2 linked regions of the Styela clava genome follow. The protein of the gene in region 1 purifies or fractionates together with the protein of each later gene. This does not show direct contact. Links are inferred from orthologs where the notes say so. Each region holds a gene or a part of one and is shown on either strand. Other genes may lie near its edges.

The links.
Region 2: the proteins of mitofusin-2-like (region 1) and E3 ubiquitin-protein ligase parkin-like purify together in Drosophila melanogaster (affinity purification with western blotting; 3 studies listed by BioGRID). This does not show direct contact. The link is inferred for Styela clava from reciprocal best matches to the Drosophila melanogaster genes Marf and park.

Annotation. Positions count from the first base shown.
Region 1 is NC_135255.1:2,487,205-2,503,598, reverse strand, and holds the start of mitofusin-2-like, read left to right. Parts: upstream 1-9,420; 5' UTR 9,421-9,592; coding exon 9,593-9,766; intron 9,767-9,993; coding exon 9,994-10,071; intron 10,072-10,294; coding exon 10,295-10,540; intron 10,541-10,641; coding exon 10,642-10,745; intron 10,746-10,987; coding exon 10,988-11,159; intron 11,160-12,145; coding exon 12,146-12,284; intron 12,285-12,582; coding exon 12,583-12,782; intron 12,783-13,113; coding exon 13,114-13,186; intron 13,187-13,635; coding exon 13,636-13,839; intron 13,840-14,339; coding exon 14,340-14,462; intron 14,463-14,646; coding exon 14,647-14,782; intron 14,783-15,265; coding exon 15,266-15,327; intron 15,328-15,568; coding exon 15,569-15,697; intron 15,698-15,951; coding exon 15,952-16,157; intron 16,158-16,382; coding exon 16,383-16,394. UniProt on the Drosophila melanogaster protein: Mitochondrial outer membrane GTPase that mediates mitochondrial clustering and fusion.
Region 2 is NC_135263.1:16,298,569-16,315,162, reverse strand, and holds E3 ubiquitin-protein ligase parkin-like, read left to right. Parts: upstream 1-8,583; 5' UTR 8,584-8,986; coding exon 8,987-10,324; 3' UTR 10,325-11,083; coding exon of another isoform or gene 11,084-11,186; 3' UTR 11,187-11,187; downstream 11,188-16,594. Other genes in the region: 40-kDa huntingtin-associated protein-like, read right to left, coding at 1,949-2,077, 2,336-2,544, 2,839-2,931, 3,084-3,204, 3,274-3,342, 3,419-3,578, 3,694-3,813, 4,432-4,490; ATP synthase mitochondrial F1 complex assembly factor 2-like, read left to right, coding at 11,084-11,186, 11,601-11,645, 11,714-11,859, 12,201-12,298, 12,379-12,572, 12,643-12,758, 13,986-14,123. UniProt on the Drosophila melanogaster protein: E3 ubiquitin-protein ligase which accepts ubiquitin from E2 ubiquitin-conjugating enzymes in the form of a thioester and then directly transfers the ubiquitin to targeted substrates, such as Paris, Marf, Opa1, Miro, pnut, Septin1, Tom20 and porin.

The sequences.
Region 1 (16,394 bases):
GTGTGTTCAGGTTAACGCTATAGTTCAGTATTTAACGTTGCTCTTGAATTCCATCACCCTGCTGTGCAAAACGAGGTAATAACCTTGTTTCCAGTGCCCCTCATTAGTGTATCGACACCCTTGATTGAATTTATTTTCTTCTTTCGGATTTAATTCCGATGATTGCAAAAAAACTTGTTTGAAAAGGTATGTTGTTGACATTCGTACGAGAATGGTGACTGCATTTTGTGCAAGCGATTACAATACCCGGAAACTTCTGGTAATGCTGCCCAAAATTCGATGTAGTTTTTATATGTTTTGAACTCTGCCTTTTGTACCAGATCTTATCGTAATTCAAGCAGTTCACCAGTTAGGTGGTCGAGAGCAACCTCTTCTTCACCTTGGATTGGCTGAACGACCCATATTACTAGAGAACTAAGATTCAGTTGTTCAACATCCAGAAAATAGGCTCCGAAGTTCAGCAGTACCACATCGAGATGCTCATGTACAATTGACTTCATCTTCGTTCTCATGCCTGGTGTTCCGTTTTTCCATTCACACATCTGCATCTCAAACTGTAGCAATTTAGTGCTTTCCAGTTTGAAATAATTAACCGAATGTGGTATATATTCCCAATAAAATGAAGCAATGCTTAGTGATTACTTCTTAGTATTATTTTTTTATGCGATAGAATGGTCTCAAGATTTGAGTCAAGATTTTCTGGAATTGATCCAATGTATATATTACGAATTGATAGCTTAGGTCTAAATGAGATCTCATCAATCAATCTGGCGTTACATCGACGTCTTAATAGCTATAGAATTCCGAAATGAAATTTCACAAGGCTATACAGTGAAAAGGAAGAAGTAAGAAATGGCCTGCTGTCTGCTATACAACAAAATTACTCCATTTATTGGGGACTAAGTCGTCTTCACAAGGAGACGAATTTGAACTTTCAACGAGTAATATTACAGTTAAAGACTTCCATCAAAACAATAAATAACAGCCCTGAATCTGAAAATTGTATCTGAAAGTTTCATAAATATTAGTATATATATATATTTATTTTAATTCCATTAATATAGTGAGCAAATCGAAAACGACACACCAAACTGAATGACTGACTGTCCAAGCGTATTGTCTGAAGTTTTCGACCCAAAGTTGAAATAAGTTCAGGCACTTGCAGTATTTTATTGGGTAATAATTCATAACCATTTTTTTGCAATTGTTAAACGGGTGACACATTACAATTTAAAACATATGACAAAATCTTCAAATTTATTGGACACGTAGTGGACCTATGGATCGTATTGTTGTTGTTCTTGTTCTTTGACATAGTTATGAAAGTGTCGCTTTTCTCTTTGATTACTGGTGTATTAGGTGTATGCAAACATGAAGAGTTGTACAAATAATACAAAAAACAATGAAGAAAACGGTTCAATTGAGGAGTAAAAACTTGGATATGTGATGCAAAAGTCTAAAATCAAAAAAAAAAAAAAAAAATGTAGACCAATGGAAAAGTGAGGAGCAGAGAGAAAATAGATGATATAAACCAGGGGTGGCCAACACGTCGATCGCCACCTCTCGAGTAGTCGATAGCGTCTGATGTTGAGTGGATTTAATAACATATCCCAAAAAATTGCCTTAAACCTTGCGTTCCGAATATCGTGTTTAAGCAGAGAAACGATCCTACAATAACTCCCGCCGTATGCGGAAGCTATTGTTCCATTCCTAGAGTAGTGAGATAAAAGTGCATTTGCAACGGTAGCAGTGGCATCAGAATGCCCAATTTTTTTGCTCAATTCCAAGCGATCGAAGAATTGGATTTAGAGGAAATTGTAAATTGGTTACTGAAATTTGAGCAGTCATGTAACGCTTATGGTTTGAGCATATTTATTTTTGCTGTTTAGTTGATATGGATACTTAGCATGGTTTATTGTGAAATTTCCAACTCTTATAACTAAAAATTAAGCAGGCCTTTGATCTAAATTGTATGATTCGAATAAATCTTAAATGAATGATGAAAATTTACTCCGGGTACAATTACATAATCAAGTTAATGAAACATAAAAATTACAAATTTTTGTGGCGATTTCGTTAAAAATGCGCCCTCAGAGCCGAGCCTATTGGCACCGGTGGAATTTTATGTATGTGCGTGTGCAGTTATCTGCATATTCAGCCATCATTTGCTTTTGTGTATATGACCTTATTAACGATCAGTCGTTCGCGATCTATTTTCAAGATTTTAGTCGATCGCGGTTCAAAGCAAGTTGGCCAGCGCTGATATAAGCCATCAGAAGTGACAAACAGAAAAGGAAAAACAACTTGGTGAAAGTAAAGTTTAAATTTGTATACGTTCTCAATGGACAAAGCGGATTCCAAAAGTGCAGGAAAGCCTCCTCTTATACTTAACATATCAAAATTCATTTCAAATGTTTTTCCGTAATCAAACAGTTCTCTTGCTTGTTTAATCGTTTCTTGGTATGAGTTTGCTTCAAGACATTCATTAGCAACATGAAAGCTGAATTAAAGATATCATTCAAAATGTTTATTCTATAACATTATTTTGCATAAGTATTGCAGATTTTTTCATATCCATTGCTAATTTATCATTAAAGGGTCAATCAAAAACCAGAAACCGGATTTCAGGAACCACAAAATATAGGCATATGTAGCATCCTACAAATTATATCGAAATTACTATTGAATTCCTGAGGGCCTATCGACGTATTATCTGTTAATGTTCAAATGCTAGCTATTTTTATATTTCTGCACAATTTTGCATTTACATCAATGTGAATTTAAATCTAAGTATAATTACAGTCTTTGAGCTATACAATGTATTCAACATAAATTTCAACAGTTATTTGTAAAACCAACCTTGAAATGAAACAGCGTACAAACTAGTAGTTAAATATTATTTATTCGGTTTTCAGCTACGCTAATTAAAATATATTTACGCGATTCGTTCTGCCATGATTTTACCTATATGTCCTTTTTCATTCTATCCTGCTGCGTATGTTTTAAATTCTAAATGTTTGATTACGTCGTTACTTGATTGTGATTTTTATGAAAACCTTTATAATAATAATTAAATAATTTCCGTTCAATTAAAATTGTATACAGATTAATACAAAAGCTAAAAATGGGAATCATACTCTGAATCTGGGAAATGTTTCTTGATTTTGTGAAATTCTAGTTCACTGTCGAATTCCAACATTTTTACTCCATTATCTCTTGCATGGATAATATAGGAGACTGGTTTTGACGGAATGGCAAAAATGATGGAATCCGGAGTTGATTCATACCAAATCAATTTCTTCCTTATTAAAAAAAAAATGGAAATAATATAGTTAATACAATCCAGGAAGTCATACTTTCTCTGTTTTCTTATCGTTAGATGGAAAAATGCCATCGCTAATTAGACTTTGCAATCACAAGAATGCAAGTCTCTTATTAAAATTTTTACGGGGCTCGGATTCTGCGTTTCACGTGGTTATACTAACCTATATATATGCACTTGTGCTAACATACGGCTATATAGTTATTATAAACCGAATAAATCTCTTTACACTAGCAGATTTGCCTTAGTGTGTTATGAATATTTTACAGAGCATGTGTAACAATGACCAGCAAGCAGTAAGTCAACATTGGCGTAACAATTGAAATTTGTTCATTCGCTCAGACACTTCTTTTGCTCAGACAGATATTCAAGTACGAGTGTAAAATTGCCTCGTTTTCGCAGTTTTGCGTGTTATTTGTCAGTTTTCAGTTGTTTTTTCAAAAATTGGTTGTAAATTGGATGACTTACTTGGCAGTATGTCTTCAAAAAGCTTTAGTTTAGTCGCAATATTCAAAAATTATTTACGAAGAAGCTGCAGGAGACTAGGCTTAAAAGTATCTATTAGTAGCTGTAAGCGGCACATGGTTAAATATTTTTATAAACAAAATGATTGTTTCGAACATGTGAAACAGTTTGTAAGCGCCAACTCTTTAAACCAGTATCAAAAATGCCGCTATGGACCTTTCCCCGAGCATCGTCTTCCTTGTTTACCTCGTGACATTGGCCAATCAGCAAGATGCAAAAAGTGACGTAACAATGCTCCCTTTTCGCATCCGCTCAGACGCTTTTCTCACTCAGACAGATGGTCAAGCGTGGTCGTAAACAATACCTCGTTTTCGCGTTTTCGAACTCTATTCGTTAGTTTTCTGTTGTGTTTCGGAAACCTAAATATAAATCATGTAATTCAATGATCACTCTGTCTTCCTATGAGTTTTTGGACACGTAGTGGACATAACGATCGTTTCAAAATTTTGTTGTTATTGGACAAATAGTCTAGTGGACATAGCGATCGTTTTAATATTATGTTGTTGTTGTTTTTATTGTTGTTCTTAGAGTCCTTGTTCTTTGACACGCTTTGAAGAAATCGCTTTTCTCTTCGAATACTGGACCAATTGCTTTGAAATTTTTAGTGGTTGAAGATGAAAATTTTCCCCAGAAGGCTATTACTTTTATTCATTTTAAATATTCTTGTAAGCTCTGTGAGATTTGTTTTTGTTTGCTATGACGTCATTAAACGTTCTGTGGACATCGGACGCCATTTTGTGTCCTACTGTACTGCTTCGCTTGGTGTGAATAATTTGTAGACTGTGATCTGACGGTACGGTAAACCGTACTGTACTGCGAACGACGTGTCCGCATATTTGGGCGTAGCTCTCTTGTTATTGTACACGTAGTGGACATAACGATCGTTTCAATATTATGTTGGTCTTGTTGTTGTTGTTGTTCTTTGACACTTTTTGGACATCTAGTGGAAAATCTAAAAAACCGCTTTTCTCTTTCATTACTGGACCTATTGCTTCGAAATTTTTACTGGTTAAAGATGAAATTATTCTCCAGGAGGCTATTACTTTTATTTATTTCAAATATTTCTGTTAGCTCTGTGAGATTTGTTTTTGTTTGCTATGACGTCACCGAACGTTCTGTGGACGCATAGCCGACACTCCTCTTCTTTTTGATCACGTGCCATCGAACGTCGATGGTTCGTAACGAAGTCCTTACGGTACTTTGCTACGATTTTTTCCTTACGCTGTCTTACTACGTTACCAGTACTGTACCGTACAGTATTGCAATAATGTTGGTTTTCTTTTCTGCAGGGACGTTACCGTACCGCCTTAGCGAAAGTTGGAAGTCTTACTGTACTGCTTCGCTTGGTGTGAATATATTTTTAGACTTTATCTGACGGTACGGTAAACCGTACTGTACTGCGAACAGACGTGTTCATATATTTGGGTGTAGTTCTCTTGTTGTTATTATTTTCATTATTTGTCTCCATCATTTTTAAAAAAATCGCTTTTCTCTTCGAATACTGGACCAATGGCTTTGAAATTTGCAGTGGTTGAAGATAAAATTTTTCCCCAGAAGGCTATTACTTTTATTCATTTTAAATACTTCTGTTAGCTCTGTGAGCTTTGTTTTTGTTTGCTATGACGTCATTAAACGTTCTGCAGACATCGGACGCCATTTTGTGTCCTACTGTACTGCTTCGCTTGGTGTGAATATATTTTAGACTGTGATCTGACGGTACGGTAAGCCGTACTGTACTGCGAACAGACGTGTCCATATATTTGGGCGTAGCTCTCTTGTAATTTAATTTCAATAATAAAAAATTTGTGTAAAAATAGCTGTGATAGGCTAGGCTAAAATTCTTTGTAGTGATATTGCATATTTTATGTTGATTTGATTCAGTGCCTGAGTTCATGACCTTTCATGTAGTTTTTTTTTTATCTTTCTTTGGCCTACCCCTAGTGTATACAATGTATTTTGTTTTTTTGGTTCATGAAGGATACGATAGGATTTACATATTTATCCCGGGGGAGAGGAAAGCCGATAAGACGGCTTATCCATATGGCGAACCACGGCCTCTCGTCCGGTTACCATTCCAAGTCGGGTATGGGATTAGTTATAAGTAAACACAGTACTCTGAAATATCGAGTTTATTCTGGATAATATTCTACACTCCGGTATAGAAATCAAGGGTAGAAAAATTATTACATTCTTTACCGGTACTTTTAAAAAACATGTTGTTGTATGCGATGATTCATATTGATGGTTTGAAGCACACACCGGTACTTCATTTTACATGCGCCAACTCGCAAAAGCACTCTTAAAATAGTCCCGAAAATTTTACAATAGTAAAGCAATGACATTAAACAACATGATAGGCAACTCTGACGTCACTCCATAAGACTACAGGCGAAAGATTGTATTTCATGATACGCTCCAATGCACATATTTCTCGTCGACTTTCGCGTCCGTTTTCCGCTCGCTTTTGCTACTCGGCGTCTTTTTTACGTGTAGTACCTGTCTTTTTGCGTCTGTAACGAAACAAAATAATCTCTATATCTAAGAAGTTTTGCTCACTTGGAAAGCTGGAATGGCAGGCAAGCTGTAAAGAGCAATTCTGGACATCATAGACGTTTTTTTTTATCAGAGAAGATTACAAACGCGATAGCGGAAAGATTTGTGTGGAACATTTTGCAGATAATGACACAAAGTTCAAAGTTAGTAATTTTAATGTTTGCGCTTAATCATTGAAGTTTCATTTAAAGAGGGTGTCATACAAAACTGTGCTGTGATACAATTCCATAACACAAAGTTTGCACCTATCGAACTTGCTTTTGTAGGTGAATTTATTAGACATATTACATATTCAGTTAATCGTAGGTAACATTGCTGGTACATAATGCATCGTAGATAGGTTTGTTTAAATTTAGGAATTTAGCTCATAGCCCACTAATTAATATTATTTTCTATGCGGTAGGTTGCAGGGCTGAATTCAACTTGCAGCCTTACCGACCACCTGACGATGCTCATTTAGTTTGGCTCGAGCAAGTCTTCTTGAAATGCTTGTGTGGATGGAAACTACCTATATTATTTGCCTTCCTCCGATTTTAGACAAATTTATTATGAGTGATTTTGCATATAATTCTCATTGATGGTTGGCTGTTTATAATTCCTATTGATTGTGAATTCTGATTATACCAAAGAGTTAAAAATTTTTTTATCTAATTTACTGGTACCTTTTCTTGTCAATACTCCAAGTTGAGGTAATAAACAAGACAATACATTTATGTCATCTGGAAGCAAAATATGCACACTAATTAATAGTTTGGCACATTGAGATAATACATCATGACAGAAAATACAAGTTAAAGATAGGTATGACCATCACATGGTAATTAAAATTAAAAAAAATTAATAGGGGCTGTGGAGTATGAAAAGTTCAAGACAAAGAAAAGAACAAATGTTCATAGCTCATGAACTCTCAATTTTGCCTCCATTGCTTTGTGAAGGCCAATATATTTCGAGTGGCTGAATTGGTTTGCTAGCAACGATTTTGTATTTAATATAGCGAGATGATTTTATAGTACCAACTCTAACTAACGAGGCCACATGATCATGGGTTAATCTGGATCTTTGCGAATGTTTAATTAATTCCAGTAATGCAAAAAAGTTACTTTTATCATTTCATGTATAGATCAGTAAAAAAACAAATGACAGATTTTTTCGACAAGACATTTCGCACCACATTGCGTGGCATAGGATTGCTTGAATTATTATTGATATTGATTTTTAGTAACTAAGTCGTTGTATAAATATATTAATATACAAACACATGGAAATTTTCTGTTCGAAGTTGGTCTTCGAATTTGTCATATTGACTGCTGAGCTTATTGTGTTTTTTCATTTTATTGATGGAAATATGACAAATTAAACAATGTGCTTCAGAATTTTGCGAAAAGCAGAAAAGTTACAACTCCCATTTTCTTCGAAAATGCCACCTTCTTCATGTACTTTGCGTTTAATTTGATCACTCAAGTGTTTATTCAAGTATTCTTTTGCAAGCTTGATGTGTATTCTTAATTGGGTCAAAATGTGGACAAAAAAAAATCATATTCCAAAACTACTTTCAGTAAATTGTTTTCTGTGTGAATAATCAATTTCACTTTAAAAGGTTTGAAAAATCTATTACATTTAGATAAAAAAAAAAATACTATTACAATTATTGTTAAGCGTTCGAGGGCCGCACTCGAAGTTCTCTGGGGCCGCGAGTTTGAGATCTCTGGTCTAGATTGAAGTTGTCCAAAAATATATATGATAGTATTTTATCATGAATGATGATTATACCCCTTCCGGAATTTCTTCTATCGTACTACCAAAAGTTGATGAACCAAATATAACACAGGTGCAGTGAGTTACCCGTAATCCTCATTTTCCAAAGCTGTTTTAAGTGTCTGGCGTGTTTTGTGCCTTTTTACAAATAAGACCGAGTATGTAATTTTACGCTTTGCAATTTTTAGTTATTTTCCTCAAGCCCTGCAGGATGTAGGGGTCATACACAACTTTACCGGAGGGTCAAGTGTCTTTGCATGTCACTGATATGTCGCCAGACTTCTGATATCTCCCCTTCTGCTATAGTTGTCCTGTGAATAAATAATAGGAAATTGTGATTAGACGAATAGTTGAAAGTTTTGCTTTATGTCGGCTTAATTTCTTGATTGATATACTTACTATTTCTGCTATTGCCTCTTGTGCTGCAGGAGTCTCACAATGCTTAGACAGGTTTGTCCACAACTTTCACATCTGAAGAAAGAGAGGAGATTTATTAATTTTCGTTAAGAATAAATAAAGCAGTCTATATGATTTAGAATGGAAAAGCTAATGAATCCAATATCTCATGTTTTATGTAAAAAATATTTTACTGAATTTGGTCAATAAAACAAACTAATAAAAGGGTTTAGTCAGAAAATTACAAGCATTCGTGGCTCCAAATATTTGAGAGATCAGACTATACAATATAGACCGGTATGAGTGAAATGTTAGGTGGACTTGTTAACACTTTGATTCAATACGCAAATAAAAGTGAATGCGCAATAGTATGTTACAATGAGCAGCAATCAACAATGAGTATATATCCTCACTGATTAAAAAAATCAAACTGGAGGTGCATGAACTATTTGAAACCATAAGGGGTAAGTAAATATGTAATTTCGGCAAATGGGCAACCACGTACCGTACTGAATTAATAACTTCGTAGTATTTGACAAAGGCTGACTTTCCCACATGTACTTAACAGTGCGATGCCCGGGTGTGATATACAACAATAGTATTTACCTTACCTTTTTCCGATTTCTTTTTACCTTAACTTTCCAAAATATCATTAAAATCGACAACAACTGTCAAAGCAGGCACGAACACCATTCGTGCTACGCCTTGAAAGCAGCACACATCCGCTCGTTTTCGTCTCGTCAAGTATGTGCATTGGAGCGTGCTATCGAATACGATCTTCGGACAAAAATGCCGGAGTTGCGCATCATGTTGTTTAATGTCATTGAGTAAAGTATAGGAAGATTTTTTCGGGGTCAAAGGTCGGGGAATAGGACTCTTGAAATACTCAGATTAACCAAAACAGCATTAGCATGCTTCAGCTTTCATGGATTTCATAGCCGCTTGTGTTTTGTGACTGTTTTAGCCTATATATCTGTATATAGGCCATTGTTGTAGCATTTAAATTTGAAATCACCAAAATCAGTTGCTTATTGAGGCATTATGTTGAAGTCTGGGTTTGGCGGCGGAGGTGATGCGTCTTCACCATTAAAATTATTCACTAATGCCAAGAAGAAAATAAATGGGATTTATCGAGACATAGGAAATTATGTCAGTGAATTCCATACTTTTGTAGAAGAAATTAAGGATGTTGAAGAGAATGAACTTGTGCATCAGGTAAGTTTTCCAACTGGTTCTTATATTGAGTACATACCGGTACAGACATAGGTTTAGTTAACTCAGTTTACGATCATCTCAGTCCTTTGAAATATCCCCACCAAGAGCATAGAGACGAACACTGAACATGGTTTGAAGTATATTACCCTGACTGCATTCCTAGATGCATCTCATTAGCCCTCTTACAATCTTATTGCTTTTAATTTAGTTTTTGCGATTTTTCACAGGAATTGGTAGATCATATTCAAACATGCGCTCAAAAAGTAAATGGAATAAAAGAGATGTTACTCCGAGATCATATGAAGGTATTTATTCAAGGATAAATTATGTGATTTGTCTAACATTATCTATTCTCATGAAGCTGTGAAATGAAACAACAAGATATTATACATATTCATACTCTTGTATGTCATATCATAACTTCAATTATAAGTCAATTACTGTTCTCATTCCAAGCATGGTTGCTAATTTTTGTGTAAAAGGTAAAAGCCTGACTTTTTTGTATATTTTATTTAAATATAATTATAGGTGGTTTTCTTCGGAAGAACTAGCAATGGAAAAAGCACTGTAATAAATGCTATGCTGTGGGATAAAATATTGCCGAGTGGACTTGGTCATACGACCAATTGCTTCTTATCAATAGAAGGATGTGATGACAAAGATGGACCATATTTACTTTGTGATGGATCAGAGGAGAAGCGTAATGTTAAAAGCGTATCACAATTAGGACATGCACTCAGTCAGGAAAGCATGTCTAATGACAGTTTGATTAAGGTTTGTTTATGATTTATGAAATTAAATATTTCTGTTTTTATCAAACGTCCTTCTAATGTTATACTTCCTACTATATCGCTGTTATTTATTTCATATTCCAGGTATGCTGGCCCAAAAATAAATGTTCGTTATTGAAAAATGAAGTTGTTTTGGTTGACAGTCCTGGTATTGACGTAACTGAAGATATGGATAGTTGGATCGATGCGTAAGCAATTTTTCCATTGTATTGTGTACTAAACATTAATTAATTAAACACAATCTGTAAACTTGTGAATTAGTTATTATCCAAAGACACAGTATCTTTACTCATCTTTTCTATTTTTTTCCTGATGACTCTTCTACAACAAATGCAATGCAATTCATTTTACAGTTGTAAATGTTATGTAGTCAGTGATATTGATACTTTTTTTAATGTCTGAAATGTCCTACTTAACATTTTTCTTATAGTTACTGCCTTGATGCAGATGTTTTCATTCTTGTTGCAAATGCTGAATCAACTTTGATGTTGGCTGAGAAAAAATTCTTTCATAAAGTAAACGAACGTCTATCGAAGCCTAATATATTTATACTCAACAATAGATGGGATGCATCAGCTGCTGAACCTGACCTTATGGAACAGGTAGGACTTGATCGAAGTTATATTAGTTTTCCATCTTGTTTACGGTTCAGGTAACATTTGATATGTTCAAAATTATCTATAATTTGAGCTTCTATTTTGAGCTGAGCAATTCGGAATGTCTGTAAATATGTCAAACACCTAATTCATCAGAGTAAATGTAGTATTCACTATTTCATTCATAACCTCATATTTGTGATCTAGTGATTTGTGTAGTTGCAAAAGGTTAAAAATCTCAGATTCAACCTCCATCACTGATACCTCACCAAGGATTTATTAAATTAGGTAGGCAAGACCAACTGAAAAGATTCTAGCCCCAAAAGTAGTAGCTACTTATTTTTTATCATCTAATTCTTTCTAAAGCCTTTTTTGAGGTGAAGGTGTGAAAACAGCAAAATAGTTAGTAGCCTATATTTGTAAGTGTGTACATAATTATCATGTGTAACAAGCTTTCTGCTCTATGGGTGACAAAATGCTAATTTAACACTTTTTTCCACGGCCATAGGGATTCAAAAACCCAGGAGTGATATGAATTGTTTTGAAAAGCATAGATTTTAAATAAATTCTGTCTATGATTTATTCCATCTTATGAATGCTTGGAAAACTGATTTGAAAAAGATTCTCCACCTTGCCCTACCTGACCAGAAATGATATGTTGAATATTTATTAAAAACATGATGACAACTATTCTGTTTATATAAGTCATATTTTACCTCACTTCTGAACAATTCTCTGTACTAGCAGTCACTTATGCAAAAGTATATTGCTTTTTGAAAGGACAGGGGTCTTTCTTGTTTGTCTTTGCCTACACCCAATTTGAAGCAGTGCATAACCTGTAATGACAATATTGTTTAATCTGATGCTCTAACCATGGGCAATTACACTTCCCTAATATGGACAAAAAATGTCATAGGAATTGATAGGCGTAAAATTTGAAATCAGCAATTTAGAAAGATGTTAATTCTGAAGTTTGTATGCAATTTATATAGGTGAGACAACAACATCTGGAACGTGGAATATCATTTTTGGCAAAAGAACTAGGTGTTGTTACCCCACAGCAAGCTAAAGATAGAGTTTTCTTTATTTCTGCAAAAGAAGCCCTTAATGCTAGATTGCAACGCTTACAAGGTTTTTAATTTTTTCTATGTAATATAGGATGATGTTTAAATGAATCATACATGATATGTCAGAATTGAGCATAATTTCATTTAATAAAGCATAGCTATGTATGTCTGATGATTCTGTTAAAATTTGATGCTGTAATTTTATTAGACCCACTATAATGAGATTTTCATTGCAGGGTCCCATCGAAATCATTAAAATGTTTCAAGTAAATTTGCCAATAAACAATCTGGCAAAATGAAAGGTTCTGGTTAATACAATTAACATGGTGCTCAGAATCGAAAATTTCTTTTAAGAAAGTTAGATGATATTATTTCAGGAATGCCAGAAGCTGGTGGTGCGCTAGCTGAAGGATTTCAAGCAAGATTGATTGAATTCTGCACATTTGAACATAGTTTTGAGGAATGTATATCGAGATCTGCAACAAGAACAAAATTTCACCAACATACTCAATGTGCTCAAGATATAATGAAAAGTCTTCTGACAGAATGTGAGAGTTTACTGGTAAGTTTTGAAATAATATTCTGAATGACTAGCTCAATGCCAAACTGCTTGTTTGCCTCTGCTGTGTGTTTCTGTTGTAAACAATATTAGAATTTGATACAAATGGAATATTCAATAATTTATTCCGTTCTCTCTATAATACTCGATTGGATTGGGGATTTACATATTTATCCTGGGAAAGGGAGGAAAGGCGATAAGGCGGCTTAATTGTATTCTGAACCACGACCTCTCGTCCGGTTGCCAGTCCATGTCGGGTATGGGATTAGTCAGCCAGTTAGTTAATTGTTTTCAGAAGCATGGACTTGATTGTATACTCACATTATATTTTCAGAAAGAATCATCCAGAATGAAACAGGAATGTGATGAATACAATGAACAACTGGAAAACCAAATAACATTTTTAGGTATATGATGAATGTTTATTAATATATTTACTTAACAATTGTAAAATATCACAGACAGTTTTTTGTTTTAGTTGATCTCATTGATAATAACTACCGTACATTGTGAATACAAGCTTATAGGATTCTTCAAGCTGATATAGAAATAATTTATCATTTGCTCATTCACTTGGAATGAGATTCGCCAGACCTGCTGTGATTTAAAGTTTTTAGTTTTGTGGGTTTATTTATGGGTTCCAACCATCATTATTCCAAAAGCTCCCTTTTTCAAATGACAGTTTTGAGCTTTCAGTGAGCAACAGAGGTGTGTTGTTTTGTCTCTGTGAGACTGTGACTCTTTTATTCGAAATGTTCGAGTACATAAAATTGGCCAAGCAAATATGCAGATTTTGTTCAAAAAAATCATGTTAAGCTAACGAAAATCCTTAGATATTTTTCATTACTTTTTTCAGAGAAGCGATTAAAGTTACTCACTGCACAAGCTAAAGAAGCGATTACACGATTGGTCAGCGAAACAGAATTTCAAGTTCGTCAAGCAATGTCTGATGAAATAAGAAGATTGTCATTACTTGTTGATGAGTTTGATCAACCATTCCATCAGAATATGATGGTTCTACAAGTTTATAAAGCGGAATTGTATCGACATGTTGAGGAAGGTAGAAATCTAAAAAGTTTACGTTATACCAGTGGTTCTCAACCTTTTACTGACTGCATACCACTTTGTATTTTTTACCCATGTACTACCAACAAAGCCCCCTTTTGGGGTGGGGAACAATGGCCCAAGGATCCCCCTATTTTATGTATCACTACATCCATTTTTGGCCTTTCAGGCAAAGTTTCAGCGTATCAATTATATGCAGTAACAACGTATTTTGGCGTGCAGAATCGCGAGAGAATTTGCGTCGTCTACCGTCAGAGCTGGAAGGCTTTAATCTTCGCCACCACTGAATTACCTATTCTTTAAATAAATTACACGTACCACAGGTCGTAAAATAACTAAACAGAAACAGAATTTTTATGCACTGTGAAGGAGGAATAAATAGATTCAAAATAGGCAAAGGATGGAGTATTTCGAAAATGATTAAGAACCACTGCCTTTATTATACTATTTGGTAGATTTCCATTTTAGTTTGATTTTTAATTTTTTTTTTTTCAGTTCTTGGAAGAAATCTATCGGCAAGATGTTCATCTTCTTTGCAAAAACAAATAAACAAAAGTAAACAATTGATGTTGGATGAAGCTCAACCATTATTTGAATGCAGTAATAATAGTGAACAAGGTAATTTTTTCAAATCTCATCATAATACAATTCATATTAAAAACTTTCTGAACTATCTCTGTTTCTATTGGCCAAAGCACGCCCATACACAATTGAGTCAAAAGTCTATATAATATAATGTCAAAAATTAATTTGCTTTTGCGATTTATAAACTATGCAACATTATGTCATTCTTATTCTTCAGAACCGGTTTTGGTATCTCAAGCACAGAATTCAGCTTTTGATATGTCATATGATATCAATTGTGCAAGTTTGTGTCAAGATTTTCAGGAAGATATAGAGTTCAAATTTTCTCTTGGTTTCAAATGTCTGATGGGAAGGTAGATTTATTTTTATTCAGCCTTTTGTTGAAATTATTTTCCTATTCATATCCTTAAATATTCTGCATTGTTTCATAAAAACTGCTTTAATGATGGCCACAACTTGATCAGCTTTTCTTTAATAATTGAATACTATTACTTTTCATATTAGTTTTCCTACTAATATTTAGAAAAAAAATTTTTGGATATGTTAAAAAAATTTTATAGTCTATAGCAGTCCGTCGGAACATTTCGTTTCAGTTATTCATTTGTTTGATTTTGCAAATAGCTTTTAGTTAATAGTAATTGATCTTACACTGTCATTTATTCAACACCTGACAATACTCCATACATGGAACTCCGGGTGTTTACTATTGAATGAATATTCAAACAAAGAGGGCTTCTTGCAGGTTGAACTTGTTTCCATTATTATTTTTTGCAATATTTCTCGATACTCATTGTGTTTTCTTATTGTAACCACCATGAATCCCTTTTGTTCAACAGATTTATTGGTTCACGAAAAGCAATAGCTCCTTCAGAAGTTCCAAGACCAATATCTGGAACAGGTAAATTAAATAAAAGTTTATGTTCTTCATGTACAATATGTTTGTTTTAAGCTTCAGGATTTGACTATAGATAAACGGAATACTGCTTTATAATGGGTTCTTATATTTGCCGAATATATTTGCTGTTGTTTCCTATGGCCAAAAGTTCTCTACTTGAACAAATCGGTAGTCAAACACCAATCCGGAACGAATTATGTTCGATCACTGAAGTATCACCGTATTTTAATTAATTTCATTTTAGGAGAGGTCATTGCTCACCAGCGACAACAAGCAGATGATAGTTTATCTTTGCAAGACATTTTGACATCAGTCGCTGCAAGTTATTTGAAGCATAATAATAGTCAATCAGCTGGAATGCTCGTAGGAATCAGTAAGTATCAATAAGTTTTTTTTTTTTAAAAAGAAATATTTCTGTAGCAAATTTGACCTATTACTATTTTCAGCAAAACCTCTTGTTTAAGTTGTGAAGTGAGACTCAAAATATTCATTCCATTATTATCAAGTTTAATGATATTATTCATGTAATCCAAACAATCCCCGATAGGAAAGGATTTTGAAACTCTCGACATCTAGATTGACGTTTATGAATATACTTGAATGTAATTTTTGTATTATTTGTTTCAGTAATGGTTCCCTATGCTTTGTGGAGAACTATTGGATGGAAAGCTATTGTATTTACTGTTGCATCATATGGATCACTGTATTTGTATGAAAGATTAACATGGACTTCCAGGGCACAAGAACATGCGTTAAAACGTCAATTTGTTGAACATGCGACTGAAAAACTCAACTTAATCACAACCTTTACAAGTTCGAATTGTTCACATCAGGTAAGCCTGAGTTTTTACATAGACATGATGGTTTTTAATAATATGATGCAGAAAGGAAGATTTGAACTGAAATCTGTATTGAATCAACCCACTTTTCAGATTCTTAATCTGTAATTTGCCAATTCACACAGGCTCTTAAACTTCATGAGACGCACTTCCCTTTAGCGACCCTACAAGTTTCTCGCAAGTATACAAGAAATATACATATTTGTATATTTGTTTCAGGTGCAACAAGAA
Region 2 (16,594 bases), on another chromosome or scaffold:
CTTGATGCAGTTTTTCTCGAGACAACTCTAGTTAGCATAGCTTCTAATCAATTATTATCAGACAATAGCAACTTTATGAAACTGCTGTTAATGGACCAAACGTGATAAATTGTAATTTGTCCCCAATCCGTATAATTTTATTCAATGTCTGTTTGTTATGAAGTGTATTTTATATTCATTTAAAACTAACGTAAATAAAAATTTTAATAAATGACGGTTGCTTAGAATTTGTCTCCAATCAGCGGAGTTTTGACCAGGGCACTCAGTGACACCAAACTCAGTGTGGTTTCTGAAATATAGAAACCTAGACACCAAACAGATTTTACTTGTTGAACTGGATAGCCAGTGATCAGACATACTTATAGCTATTAGACTTCCGCGATTTACACCTGGGGCGCACAGCGATTGGATCAAAATCGACGGCCTATGGACCTTTCCCCGAGCATCGACTTTCTTGTTTACTTCGTGACATTGGCCAATCAGCAAGATGCAAAAAGTGACGTAACAATGCTACCTTTTTTTCATCCGCTCAGACACTTTTCTCACTCAAGCGTGGTCGTAAACATTACCTTGTTTTCACGTTTTTGAACTCTATTGTCTATCCGTTAGTTTTCAGTTGTACTTTGGAAACTTAAATATAAAATCAGATAATTCAATGATTACTCTGTCTTCCTAGGAGTTTTAATTTATTTGGCGCGGCGGTGTGGCTCAACGGGCTAAGCGTTAGGAATACGCTCGCCACCGCACTAGTAATTACTCTGCGTGGGTTCGCAGGTTCGAATCCACCACCAAGTCCATGCTTCCGAAAACAAACAATATAACTAATCCCATACCCGAATTGGAATGGTAACCGGACGAGAGGCCGTGGTTCGCCATATGGATAAGCCGTCTTATCGGCTTTCCTCTCCCCCGGGATAAATATGTAAATCCTATCCTATCTGCAAAAATAAAAAATTAGTGTAGAAATGGCTGTGATAGACTAGGCTAAAATTCTTTACCGGTACTTTTAAAAAAGAGATTGTTGTATGCGATTAATCGTAATGATGTTTTGAATCACATACCCCATTTTACAGGCGCCAACTCGAAAAAACACTCTTAAAATAGCCCCGAAAATTTTGCAATGGTAAAGCATAGAAAGAAATTTTCCGGGACAAAGGTCGGGGAAAGGTTCATAATGTAACAAAACACATCACCCAAATTTGCTTTTTTTCTATTTTATTGAACAAGACATATTGCACGATTAAATCCAGTTGCCTTAAAGTTAACCGACATCGACATGATGGTAACGGTAAGTGTTGGTGGTGCTTGTTGAGGGTCGGAAAGCCAAGAAGATTACGGTATGAGAGAGAAGATCCCTGGACTCCTCCCCCACCCAATCCACTGTATTATCCACTTTATAGTAGGGAAGGAAACTTGAAAACAAATCCCAAACTTTTTATTGGATCACTTTGATGAACATCGCTTCCAAGGTTCATACCAGAGAGGCACTATTTTTGTTGATGTCGGAAATTTGAAATTTCATAACAATGGACAAATTTTATAAAAATATTCAATTTCGAATTTCCACCTAGTATATCATTATACAGCGTCTAATTACCGGTATGCATTTATCTGACTATTTACATTTACAGGTTTGTTAAATAAAATAGATCAGATATTTGAAACTTATATATCATTGCACATTGGAATGCTTCATGCCAAACCTGGTTTAAAAACATTTTATTATTATTTTACCTCTTTTAATTTGCCACATACTAAGTGTTCGGACCACATAAATATTGCAGCAAGAGACAGAATGTCGAGTTTTGCCCTTTTTCCCAATAGCGAATCAATATTGAAGGTTCACAATTCATTCTTATACTTTTAACTGGGAAAGTTATTGAGCTTTAAAGATTGTGGACTGTTCTGCTCAAGAGCACCCATTTGAACAATGATGAAAAATATAACTTCAATACTTTGGGTGACAATATTCATCAACAATCCTTTGCAATAGGACATTCTGTTCAACAGATATATAATCTTTTACACCATCTTGAACAGTTTTTATTGCATCAATATCTCCACCTGAACACGCCATCTGCAAATGAAATAAATGACTAAGGATTACTTTACTGAAAAGTAATATACAATTTTATACATAGCTAAAAAAATCACCTTTTATGTAAAAGTTTGGAAATCAAAAAGAAAATTTTCGCCATCTTGTTTATGAATTGCCAGGAGTCGGAATAAGAGTCTATTGAATCTATCTGGATTTGTTACTACAAACTATCAGGCAGTTTTGAAGATGATAATAGAGAAAAAAACAAAATAATAAATGAATCTGAATCGCACTCACCACAACTGACCGAAGAAAAATAAATAAATCTTCTCCAAGCAATGTGTCTAAAATATGTGATCCAGATGCCATGCTTTCCTCATCAGGCCATGTATACTGTTGGAATACTTCTGCATAATCTTTATTAATTGCTAGAGGGCGAGGTTGAAGTAACAATAGAAGTAAAAGTCTAGTTACTTCACATTTTTTATAGTAGTCATTGTAACATCCTGAAATGAGAGACAGAAATTTATATGAGAATATATACTAGAAAAATTTGAACTTACTTACTTGAATATAACATAGGCTTTTGCTGATAGAATTTATGGTAGCCCATTTACTCCTGTATATGATTTATAGGGTAAGTAAATAAAGGGGTTCTTCTCCCACTTGCCCCAAAAGTCCCTAAACCAAAATGGAGTAAGTCATCAAATAGGGTGTGGTCAGTGGTCACACAATTATGGTGACACAGTATGTTGTGATTAATGATTTCAATAAAATGAAACATCATTGAAACAGCATACCAAGAGGAGTAACTCGATCTAGATGATAGGCACCTTCTTTTTTGATTAATTTCATCATATCCATTGATGAATTCAAGGCAGAACGAAAATCACCTAAAAATGAATCAATGTTGCCTTTAGTCGACATTCTGAAATATGATATGTGCCCTCAAGAAACATGTTCCTGGAACTCTCCTTTTGTATTTTTTCATTCAGTTTCCTTTATGTGTTCCATTTATCTATCTTATAAAAATATAGTATCTTACGTATTAGTGTTTGACAAAACATAACTTTATCCATCGTGGATATAGCTTGAGATGGCAAACCAGAGAAGTACTCAACAGCTCTTTGATAATGCTGAATAGCTTGATCATATCTGTGAGTTTGCTGAAACGAAAAATAAAATTAGTAGGCTATGAAACATTCCAAAGAAAGCAAAATGTACGCTAAACTTACTTTGTAAAATTCAGCTTGTTCAAGGCATACACTCCCAGCCGCGACTGACATACCGTTTTCTTCATAAATCTAGTATGATAAAAAAAAATGACCAGTCATACAAATAATGAAGTATTAAAAGTGCAATATTACCAATATAACTTACTTTAATAGCCATATTGAAACAACCCATAGAGCATTCCAAATGTTCGTGAAAGTTTGGACAATTCATTTCATCTATTTCCTTGTCTGCTTTTAGAAAAAATCTAGCAGCTTCAATAAGTGAATCTACTTCACCAGATTGGTTGAGCAATCCTTGCTCACATCTGAAAGGTTTAGAAGTTAATGTCAACTATTGGATCTCAATAGAAAAACACAAATAGAGTCTAAAACTGAAAAGATCGCTAAAAATGATCATAGGTTGAAAACGGTTCACATTACTTGGCCCTAGCAATTGCTGTGAACCCAGCATAAGGAAAGCACTCGATCCTCGACAAATGATTTTTCAGCTGTTCAAATTCACTACTTGCTTCTGCAACATTCGGTTTTTTCAAGAATCTCCTATAACAAAACAAAAAAATACAATTAATGTTTGTCTATCCGATGCAACACAGAACCACTTGAAAGTAACTGATGCGACTATCAAAATATCCAAGATATGTCAAGAATTCAAGAATAAAAATTCATTGAGAAGCTCAAATATCACAAATTTTACAAATGTTCACACAAATGTTTTGTCTGCCAAAGTCAGAATTTCTCGGACAAGCATTTTATAATGAAAAAGTAATTGATAGCTGATTTTGCCAGTTAATATAATATTTATTATATTAGTATAAAAATGCATATCATCAAATGACTTAGTAATATTAGTACAATATGCTGTTATAATTTAGAAATAAAAGTAGATTGACAAATGACAACCAATATTTTGCCAGTTAATATAATATTTATTATATCAGTAGGCCTATAAAAAATGCATATCATCAAATGACTTAGTAATATTAGTACAATATGCTGTTATAATTTAGAAATAAAAGTAGATTGACAAATGACAACCAATATCTGAATATGGTATTGTTATTTTGTTTACATTTCAGTCATACCTGCTGGCAAAAGTACGGTAATACCATATTGGGGCCTACTTTTATATCTAAATTATAAAGTGGGTGAAAATCCTACTTCTTTAATTTGCTTGCTGCGGCTCTGTGAAAATTGAAAAAATCCACCTCCTCTCCCATTTTTCACACTTCAATGCAATGACTTATTACGATACGGTATCCTTGCACAATGTAAGCTTTGAAATTACGGTATATAATATACAGATAGTCTATATATGTTAAGATACAAAAGGATAGGATAGTATTTACATATTTATCCCGGGGGAGAGGAAAGCCGATAAGACGGCTTATCCATATGGCGAACCACGGCCTCTCGTCCGGTTATCATTCCAAGTCGGGTATGGGATTAGATTTACTGTATTGTTTGTTTTCGGAAGCATGGACTTGGTGGTGGAGGAAGCCGAGCTGAGTAATATAGGCCTAGTAATTCTAAACTGTCACAAAACAGCATTACTGAAATGGTGTGATACCGGTATGGTACAAATAAAAATATTCTTTTTCACTTGTGATGTATCTATTCTGATTTCTGCATAAACATCGAAGTTGAGAGAAAAGTTGTTTCCCTGACCCTTGACCCCAAAAAAATTCTCCCAGATTTTGCTATTGCAAAATTTTGGATGCCTATTTCGCGAGTGTTTTGGAAAAGCAGGCAAAGGAATGTTGATATCGCCGTGTTAAACAATAGCAAGACACTGCATCTCACCAATTCAGGTATAAGTACAAGAATTCCTGGGTCAATCCATAACAACAGAAATCGTTTTCTTGGCACTGTTTTTCTAAAACGTTTCAACGTCAAATCTGATTAGGGTTGGTGCACCATGATATTTCATTCACATACACCCGCCCTGCGCTCGAGTTGTTGATAAATCCTTGAGTGGACTCTCATTTTTACGGGTTAGTGCAACATCAAATTGATGTTTACAACTGACAATGTATTACAATTGCGTCGCTCGATCATGTTTGGTCAACTGATTGAACAATGTCAGAAAATACGATACTGCCCTGGTGGGCAGGCACTTGAGATACTTCTCATGTTTTAAACTTTTTTATGGGTTTTGCTTGCCCTCCAGAATTCTCCATTTTCAATTTATGTTTGTTATGGAGTTTCCGAAATAAACTATCTATCTATAATGCGAAAGGCTTGTTGTCACAGTCACGACGATCATGAGAATGAGAAATGAGAATATTCTTGTCTGATAGCTGTGCCTATCCAATTTCAAGTTTTCCACGTCCTAAGATACCTCCACAAAAGGCATAATAGTTGTCTACATACCAGCTGCTGCTTGTTTAGAGCCTTGTTCAGATTTCTCAGAAAAAAAAAGGCGAGACATATAGAACGAAAATGGTTTATAAAAATGGATGGAGGAGTCGTTAATATTGTACCATCCAATGCGCCATTCCTAATGCGACGTTGCATTGTACCCATTGCGCTTTCATTGTTAATAATACACCATTCCTAATGCAATAACGCGTTCTTCTCAATGCGCTTTTCCTAATAGCAGAAAAGTACTTCAATATTCTATGAAACGTGAATTGATTTTATTACCAAATATATCAGCAATGAAATTATACGTTCCATTCTTAAAGTTTGCATGATGTCACAGCACAACCAAGTGACAAAAACTTTTTTGCTGCTTTGCTGCGGGGAAGTTGTGAAGCTCTTTATCAGAAGATGGAACCGTTCTTATACAATAGCTGTATTCAATCCAGTCTTTTCAAATTACATAGTGGATATGGGTACCTGCTTGTTCAGAGTCTTATTCAAAGGGAATGTGTGAAATACCCCATTAAAAAAGTGGTGCTCCATATATATATATATATGGTGATTTAAATAACCAAACATTTATTGAAGTTTCACAAGAAAAAAAAAATCAAAGCACAGATGCACACCATTAGTTTCACCAGAACCATTTGGTTTTACTCCAAGCCTATTCGGGACCTAGGTGAAGTCGAATCACTGACTGCTTCATTCCCATATCGATAGTGTGGTACTGAGGTAGATATCAAAATATATTAGTCATCAAGGGTGTGATAATGGATTTTTTTTCATTCATAAACATTAGGTTCAGACAAGGATACGGTAATTTGAGTTGTTGGACACGTAGTGGACATAACGATCGTTTCAATATTATGTTGGTCTTGTTGTTGTTGTTGTTCTTTGACACTTTTTGGACATCTAGTGGAAAATCTAAAAAACCGCTTTTCTCTTCCATTACTGGACCGATTGCTTCGAATTTTTTACTGGTTAAAGATGAAATTTTTCTCCAGAAGGCTATTACTTTTAGTTATTTCAAATATTTCTTTTAGCTCTGTGAGATTTGTTTTTGTTTGCTATGACGTCACCGAACGTTCTGCGGACGGTACTGTACCGTACAGTATTGCAATAATGTTGGTTTTCTTTTCTGCGGGGACGTTACCGTACCGCCTTAGCGAAAGTTGGAAGTCCTACTGTACTGCTTCGCTTGGTGTGAATATATTTGCAGACTGTGATCTGACGGTACGGTAAACCGTACTGTACTGCGAACAGACGTGTCCATATATTTGGGCGTAGCTCTCTTGTTTTTTCATAGGATCACTTCGAATTTAACATGGAAGATTTGTCAGAATATTTGTGATTTTTTTTCATATTGATTTCATTTGATCATTGTTAAGCAGCCTGAAACACAACAACAATCTACGAGCAGATGTTTCAAAGATTGCTTATAAGGGAACATGGTGAACTATTGTTCACTTTAGAGACTAATGGATTTTTTCAAATTAATTTTAGAAGGTACTGGTTTTTTGATACTTTTTATTTTAGGTGGTGCGAACATGTTGGGAGCTGACTCTGATGACCGTATGGTCGTATCGCTCCCTCCAGCCCATACCGAAGAAACGTTATTCGTAGTGCTTTATATTTATTATTATTATCAATGTATTTATGTTTTTTCTGGTTGACAAATAATGGAGCTCTCTCCCTCTATTCGAAGAAAAAAGCGAATATATAATAGTGATAATGACGAAAAACGAGAACAACAATATAATATTCAAACGATCGTTATGTCCACTAACGTGTCCAACAAGAACAACAACATAATATTGAAACGATCGTTACGTCCACTAACGTGTCCAATTACCAAAAATATGAGAACGATCCAAAGGTCCACTCAAAGTGACTATAAACGGCTGGGGGATTCCCCACGTCAACTGAAAGTAGTTTGGGGGATTTTAAAAGTGACCTAGCCACCCACGCGGTATAAGAAGTGCTGCATGGTGCGCAAAGATAAAGAAAGCCAGGTACAGTACACCAAGTAAAGTTAAGTTGACACTGTACATTTATATAATAAAGATATTTGGCTATACCGGTAGGCGGTAACGTACCGTACCGGTACCAAAGCTCACAGGGTCTCGTGTAGTTTCGTACCTAATGTACGGTACGGTACTTCTAGTAGGCGTAGCATAACAATTTTTCGACATGCCAATCCTAACCTTCACCTGACTACGCCATTCAAAAATTGCGTCACAACACGTCATATCATAGCTTGCCAAATTCTCGTACGATCGCCCGAAATGGCATCGGCGCCGACGATAAAGAACTGACTAACGTCAGCGATCTCTCTCCTATCGGGATCGTTGCGACGAGAAAACGAGAGAAATGGCTTTTCGATTTCGGGTTCTCGTCTGCGCGTCTTGGATGACAGTTTGCATAGTTTGAAGGGCTCTATTACGTCACTGCAGCACTGTGGCGCCGTAGTGATGTAATTTTTGGATGGTGTGGTCAGGTGGGGGTTAGGATTGAGCTTGCCAAATATACGTACGATCACCCGAAATGGCATTGGCGCCGACGATAAAGAACTGACTGACAGTATCGATCTCTCTCCTATTGGAATCGTTGCGACGGGAAAACGAGAGAAATAACTGTTTGATTTCGGGTGCTCGTTTGCACGTCTTGGATGCCGGATGGCAGTTCGTATAGTTTGAAGGGCTCTATTACGTCACTGTGACTTCGTGTTGATGTAATTTTTGGATGGTGTAGTCAGGTGGGGGTTAGGATTGATACATGAAAAAATTGTCATGCTACGCCCACTAGAAGTATATTAGGTACGAAACTACATGAGACCCAACCATTGGATTGGAATTTTAACGAAAATAAAGAAGGAAATCAATGCTCGGGAAATAATTTATTTTGTAAAGTTTACCAAATTATACCATACAGCCATATTAATACAGTAATAAATGGGACTGAACCTGAACAGTGAAGAATAGTCTAGATTAATATTAATTAAAATATGATTTATTGTTGGAATTTGGTTGGAGTGAAATGCAAACACCTCAACCAAATAAGAAAGAGAGGGGTTGGTTAGGTGGATATTCTACCCTGTTTCGTTAATTTAGGGTCGGTTTCGATAATTAGGAACCATATATCAGTACGGTACCGATCTTAGCTATGAAATTTTAAATGTGATCACATGACCAATTTTTACAGTGTTTTATCCTTCATTGATATTTTAATTATGTCATTTATTGTTTCTGTATCTTACAAATATGAAATATCTAGTTACCTAATAACTGCAGAACTGTATTATTAGGCTTAAGATTTATCCGAAATTTCGAGACTACCTTACCGAAACAGTGCAATGTGCACTACCAATGCATTGGATATTAGGTTCATGTTGCACAAAGACAAGACTTCTAGACTAATGAAATTGCCTTTGAATATAAAAGTGTGTGATGTCAAATCTATGCTTTGTAAAGACTCTAATATCCCTTTCGAAGAGTGTGAAATTATTTTCTGTGGAAAGGCAATGCAAAATGATAAAACACTGAATGAATATACCCTTAGTTCTCAGACGACTCTGCATGTTGTCTCTTACCCTCGTATAAAAGATGAAGAATTGATATCAAGACAACAATATTATGTGGGTCGAAATTCATATTTGACAGGAATATGGCCACATCGTCAACATACTCATTTTCCTTTCATCAAGTTACAGAATTACCTGAATGAAGAAAAATTATGTTCAAAACATCCTCAATTTTATGTTTATTGCAAGCATACTTGCTTTAAAGTTACACCTGGGAAGCTGCGTGTTCAGTGTGCCAATTGTAAAGAGGACAGTATTATTCTACAATGTGAGCCTGAGCAATGGAGTGATGTCCTTCAGGCGGGAAAAATATTTGGCCAATGCTATTCTGAGGAATGTGGAGGTGATGTTTGTGATGCAGAATTCTACTTCAAATGCTCGGTTTGTCGGAGTCCGGCACCTTCTGAAACTGCTGTATCCTTACCAAATGTTATCAGCAACATTCAAGATGTTCTCTGTCTTACCTGCCTTGATTCATGTAATCCGGTCGTGACGTTTCCTTGTAGCCCTGAACATGTTATGTGTTTGCCATGTTTTGAAGAATATTCTCGAACAAAACTTCGTGATAGACAAATGATAGTTTGTGAAAATATAGGGTATTCTGTTACCTGCCCGATGGGGTGTGAAGGTTCATTTATGTGTGATACACACCTTTTTCACATACTTGGGGCTGATGAATACCAAATGTATCAAGCTTTTTCTGCGGAAGAATGCTTAATTCGTAAAATGAAGGGAATGATTTGCCCCAATCCTAAATGTGGAACTGGCTTGTTTCCAGATATACCTGCCATCTTTGAGAACAACACAAAAATTACCTGCTCAAATTGTGGGCATATGTTTTGTTCAAATTGTCGTGAATCATATCATGGAACCTCAGACTGTGAATCCCAGTTTCCTCTGTTGGCTGGAAGTAGTGTTATGGTAAGAGACTATTTCGAAAGCATAAAAACCATCAGGGAAATTTCGAAAAACTGTCCTAATTGCAAAGTTCCAACAGAAAGAAGTGGTGGTTGTATGCATATGACTTGTAAAATGTGTTTGTATGAATGGTGTTGGAATTGCCTTACACGATGGAATTATAATTGCCAAGCAGATCACTGGTTTAACTGATTTTCTATAAGTTGAGAATATATTGTCTTACTATGCTGGGCATTAGAAACAGTTTTGCTATCGCACTGTTGGATATTATTAAAAAGAAAAACATTTGTCATAGCTTTTCTGTTCTGTATTCATGAATTGAGTTCTGTAAAAGCTTCATAGCTTTTCTGTTCTGTATTCATGAATTGAAAAATCCGATATTGTGAAGAGAAGGACAGAGATACAAAATCAACTTAGCTACTGCTCTAATTGCAGTCTAAAATCATAATCTCATTAATAGAAAATGTTACAAATAGGGTCATTTTTAAGAAAGAACACATACAAGGCAATGTCCTTTCAATGAGTTTGAATTCAGAAATAAAGATATAGCATATGATTTGATGACTTAATTTAAAACAGTTTGCAAAAAATTCAGACCGTTTTGGTAATAATGTGATTTAAGAATTGGGAATCTATTTTTTATTCCAAGCTCGTCATCCCCCCTGCCAAGATATAGAATCCTATTTTATTCCAATATTTTCATATTCATCTCATCACTGTGAAATGGCCAAGCGTTTGGTATTTGTTTAATAATAAGTTTCACTACTGCCTGTGGCATTTGTATTATATAAACTAATTTCTGGTTTTAACTAGAAATTTAAATGTGCCTTTGCTATCCTATTAATGAATATATATGAATGTTGCTAATTTAGTGATTTGAATTGTGTTCTTTCTTTGTTCGTAATATATTGCTATTTTGTCAAATCATGCAAATACTTCAATAGTCAGGTAATGGCTGCGTTGTTCCGGAATTTGTTAACCGCGCCATTTACGTGTTCTACGACAGTCCACTGTAATGTTTTAAGCATTCTGCGGCGACACACTAGTGTTTCTGGTGAGTTAAGGTTTTTTTGTTTGCAGCAATACAGTCACATAAAAGCAGCTTGGTGTATGTAGTAGTTCTTGATGCTCTGTAATGGAGGATACTTCACTTCACATGTTGAAATTTATCTCAGACTTTATTTTATGTGGTAATTATTTTATTTCACATATACAAAGCAAGTGCATAATGAATAAACTTAAAATAAATCTCATCATAACACTGTTGAACAATGAAAACTGAGCAAATCCAAGTTCTGAACTTGGCTCGAGTTACAAAATTAGTTCATTGCTCTCACCAGCACCAACCATAAAAAGTTTATCCTGTTAATAAAGACAGCTCACCTAGTTCTCTATATATCAATGGGGAATCTATTCAAATTCATGAATGTGATTTCTCTGACTCATTTTGATCTATATATTTTTATAGGAAGAAAGAAATTTTTCAAAGAGGTAACAATATCATGTGATTCAGGTAAGATGAATTAAAAATAAAATTATAAGTCATGTTCATATATCTAATATCATTGTTAATTTTTGAAGATGGATATGATGTGAGCCTCGATAAAAGAAAACTGAAGTGTCCTTCAGGCATTGTACTGCGACTACCATGTGAACAACTGGCTCAAGCTGTTGCATTAGAATGGGATTCCCAGGGAGACGCACTGAAATACCACACGATGCCAATAGTTAGTAAATTAGTTCATATTGTGCTCGATGTCTATTTTTAATGTACATTTGGGTTTTGTAAAATGTATGTAAAAGTTTTAAACTACAAATAACATCAATTATGATATGAGTGAAGAAATTTTTCTAGTTGTTTCACTTCCAGATCAAAATAGTATGCTGGTTTGTGATGGTAGTCCATGGTAAAGCTAGTACCCGTATGATAGGTCTCTTATGTAAACCCTAATGTTCTTACATATTGCTATGATGTATTATTCGTCTTTGGATCTCTATAAAGTATCACGGTAGGTCTGTAGTTAACAGCACACAAGAAGAGTTTTCAGTTTTAACTTCTTTTCAACAGACCAATTTATGTTTTTATGCGATGGATAAGCCAAATGGTGAAGATAAAGCAACTTTGGTTGACATTTGTCTAAATTTCTTGCGAACTGATACAGTATTGTGAGTGATAATTTCATTTTTGAATTTAGTATTGGTTTGGGTCATAAATTTGATTTCTGAATAAACATATATTTTTCAAGATTTCATTCTGACGAGCCTCCTGGTTTAGGAGATCATCAAGTTAAAGAGTGGGGTAAAATTATTGACTGGGCACGACAGAAATACAATGTTGAACTCAACTACACATCAGGGTTTACTTCCCCACATTTGCCTGAAGAAACAATAAATACGTTTGCAAAATACCTCTCATCTTATAATTTTTGGGCTGTAACAGGTGAGTTTGTTTGCATTATTTTTTGGCATTGTAAATTATGTTTTTAATAATGCAGGTGTATGTTCTACAGGATTTGAAAGGCTCATCAGCACACTGAAATCCCTTTTGCTATCTATTGCATTGGTTGAACGCAGTATAACAGTTGAAGAAGCCGTGAGTTTATCTCGATTGGAACAGGAATATCAGGTGGACTATTTATATCAGTTTTCCTCTCATGTGAACAGTTAAACTTCGCAATTTAAGAACAAGAAAATATTTATAAATTTTTAACGTTGTATAATGTAGGTGGTAGGGTGGTTCACATACCGGTAACCTCTGGACGGTTACGGCTTCCTCTGCCATCAAGTCCATGCTTCCGAAAACAAATAACTGACTAATCCCATACCCGACATGGAATGGTAAATGGACGAGAGGCCGTGGTTCACCATACGGTTAAGCCGTGTTATCGGTTTTCCTCTCCCCGGGGAATAAATATGTAAATCCTATCCTATGTATCTGCATATTCGATCATGATGCTCGTATTGGATTGGTTGAAGAAATAAATGAATAGAGTGATGATATGTTCAAGCCAGCATGTTTACTATTTAAGACTATTATTAACACTATACCTGCAGGAATTGTTCTTAAGATCTGCCATCTGTAGATACATTTGGCAGAAATCTTGTAGGGCAGCGGTTACCAAACCTTTTGTTCGTGCGGCGCCAAATTATCAGGGAAACTCCTGCGTACTTGCACGGAAACAAGAAAATAAAACTCAATTTTGTGATCGATAATGTGTACTTTATGCCTTTTAAAGTTTGTAAACATGTATTACTTAGGAATAAGGGCAAATGTTCGCCAAAATCGGTTCAGCAGATACACAAACTGCAGCTCGCAAAATTGCAGCAAGTACGGTAGTAACTTTCTCTATTGTTACGTAAGAATATAGGCAGAAACTATAACAGGAGATAAACGTCATAGAACGGTAAAAGTAATTTATTGATTCATATACACAGCGTTTAAAATAAGAAACGATAAAATGTAGGGGAAATTAAGTTTCATGAATAAACTTTCTTTATTAAGTTGGTTGAACTTAGGAACCATTGAAAAATCGAATTTTCAGACGGACCACGTCTCATGTAACTACTATGCACTAGCATCTACACCTTTTTATGAGAGGTTTAACCGATCTGAAAAAAGCTTAGTGCAACTGTAATTTCTGTAAAGTCCAAATTCGTGTACTATTGTATACGGGATATTTATGTGCAAGGATTGCTAGATTCATCGCCGTCATAATGTGATTCACGTAATCACTGGTCGATCTTGGGATGGCTTTCCCCAACTAATATGGACTGGTAAGTGGTAACCGGATCGGCTGTCGTCTTTTCTCGCCACCAGGATAAATATATAAATCTTGTCCCATATATATTTCAGATTTCACAATGGGGAAATGTAGAATGGCATCACGATATTGATCTTCTTGAGAGTAGAAAGTCTGCTGCCGCCTGTGCGATTTTCATACACGCCTGTTCAGAGGACAGCAGATATATAAATCTGCAAAACCTTGCCTAATAGAATGAAAAGAACAACATCGATAAGTGTTTGTCATGTCGAAAATAGAGAGCAGTGCAAATTTTGAGTGGAATTGCATGGTTTTGTGTGGAATTGTTATCTCTTAAGTGGGAACAGGTCTTTTGTGACAGATTTGGTGAGCAGATATCGAGAACGACCTCCTTATGGCGGAGTCCAATTGTGCAAATGATTGTGACTTAATCTGTTCATGGTCAGATTTGCAAAGATTAAATAAATGAAACAAATTTCGAACAGTTCATAACATAATTTCTAACGAATAAATAGTTTGATAATTTTATGGTTCAGTGTAAATCACGAGGAGTATATGTTAACCTCGCGGGGGCCATGGTGGGGTGGGTGTCGATTATGATTGTGAAATACAAACCATTTTGGAACACTGGAATACTTTTCCCTGTGCTTATTTTACAGATAATATAATGAACTGTATTCATCTGAGCTTTTAGGAACTTGGGAATCAAAAATGAAAAACTCAGTTGGCTGTGAGTCTCTCACTCGTTTACTTTTAGTGCACCTGCCACACACAAACAAGTTTTTATTTTCAAAGTTTTTTTTTCAAGAATATCGGTAGTTTTTAATTCTTCGAGTGTCAGCAGCTCTTGGCGCGTTAGTAGTCGCCAGTGACTTTGCTCAGAGACCAAAATCCTTTATTTCCGAGTGAGTGCGTGTGGTATTGCTTTGAGCAAATACCTTCCATAAAAGAATATAAATTATTTAAAAAAAATAAAAGTCCGTATGAACACAATACCCAAAACGGCGCTTGACATGCCTGCTTAGTTGAAAATTGAGGTTTGATTTGAACTCAACGCGTGTTTCAAGAATTTTTTTTGCGTCATACAAACTTTTTTTTTAACTACGTCAAAATTTCACATCACATTTTTGTTTGGCGTTATTTGAACAATTACGGCGTTCATTTCACATTTTTGTTAGGCATTATCCAAGCAGTCGCGGCGCTTTTTCTACAAGACCCAAGCATTTTATTGCCGCTACGGTACTTTTTAATAAATAGTACGGTGCTTTCAAAAATCAGATTGTTTGTTGAATGCTATGAATCAGAATGATTCTTTGAAACAAATAGCCCATTTTACAGTCGCCAACTCGCGAAACAATTCTTGAAACAGGAGAGCTAGGCTCAAATATATGGACACGTAACAAGGTGACATAAAAAACGAAGCTTTTGAAGTCCCCAGAAATTTTTAAAATAAATAAAAGTAATACTGTAGTCTTCTGGCGAAAAAAATCGATCCGCTATTTTTATTCTGACACATGAAAATCGATCCGCTATTTTTGTTCTGACACATGAAAAACGAAGCTCTTGAAGTCCACAGAAATTTTTGAGATAAGTAAAGTAGTCTTCTTGCGAAAAAATCAATCTCAACCACTGAAAACTTCAAAGCAATTGGTCCAGTATTAGTCCAGAGTAAGGCGATTTTTTAATGATAATAACTACCGGTACCCTTAAAAAAGTTCCGAATTTCCAGTAGCAAGAATTTTGCAGAATCAAAACGTACAGCCAGTTATCACGCGGACAAATTTCATAGAATTCATACAAAATTTAGAACTGAAAAAAAGTAATAGCCCTCTGGAGAATAATTCCATCTTCAACCACTAAAAAGTTCAAAGCAATTGGTCCAGTAATCGAAGAGAAGTTGTTTCAACCAAATCCTAACAGTTACTTACTTTTTTCGTTTTTTCTGTATTTGTATTGAGGTGGTGCTCCATAGTAATTGTTATTGATGGGAAAGGCTAACTGATCTTGGATAGTTAACTCTACGATTCGTTTTACCCGTCAACTGACATCTCGCCAACAAATAATCTTTATAAAGTATAATTTCATCAAAAAATGATTAGTTTATCGAAAATTCATCTCTCGAGGCGTTTAATTTAAAAGAATATCACTAACTGTATTGACGAGGACCCTTTATATACGAAATATCATTGATCATTGAAGTACCAATATTGCTGATAATGAAAATTTGACAATAATAAATTTAAATAGTTTTGGGCCAGAATATATTGTTCACGATTTTATTGCAAAAGTGTCATACAACAAGTACGCAGTTGATGATGACTGTTTTTCTTTCTGAGTGAGTGAGAAAAGCGTCGGGGCGGATGCGAAAAGGGAGCATTGTTACGTCCCTTTAGCATCTTGCTGATTGGCCAATGTCACGAAGTGAACAAGGAAGTCGATGGTCGGTGAAAGGTCTATTGCTTTGGTGTGTTAGTCGTTGATTGTGATGTACAAGTTAAAATTATAACTTATTACGTCAGGCTGAGGTTAACCGGTTTATCTTATCCAGTTAACGGTTAAAGTCTTTTTCCTGAAATTCCCATAATATAATAAGCGCAATGAGAACTTTGAGTAATTTTTGAGAAAATAAATTACATAAAAAGTTGAAAGAACTGTGTCTTAAGCTCACAAAGCATTGTACTTTTTCGTAACCGTGGTAATT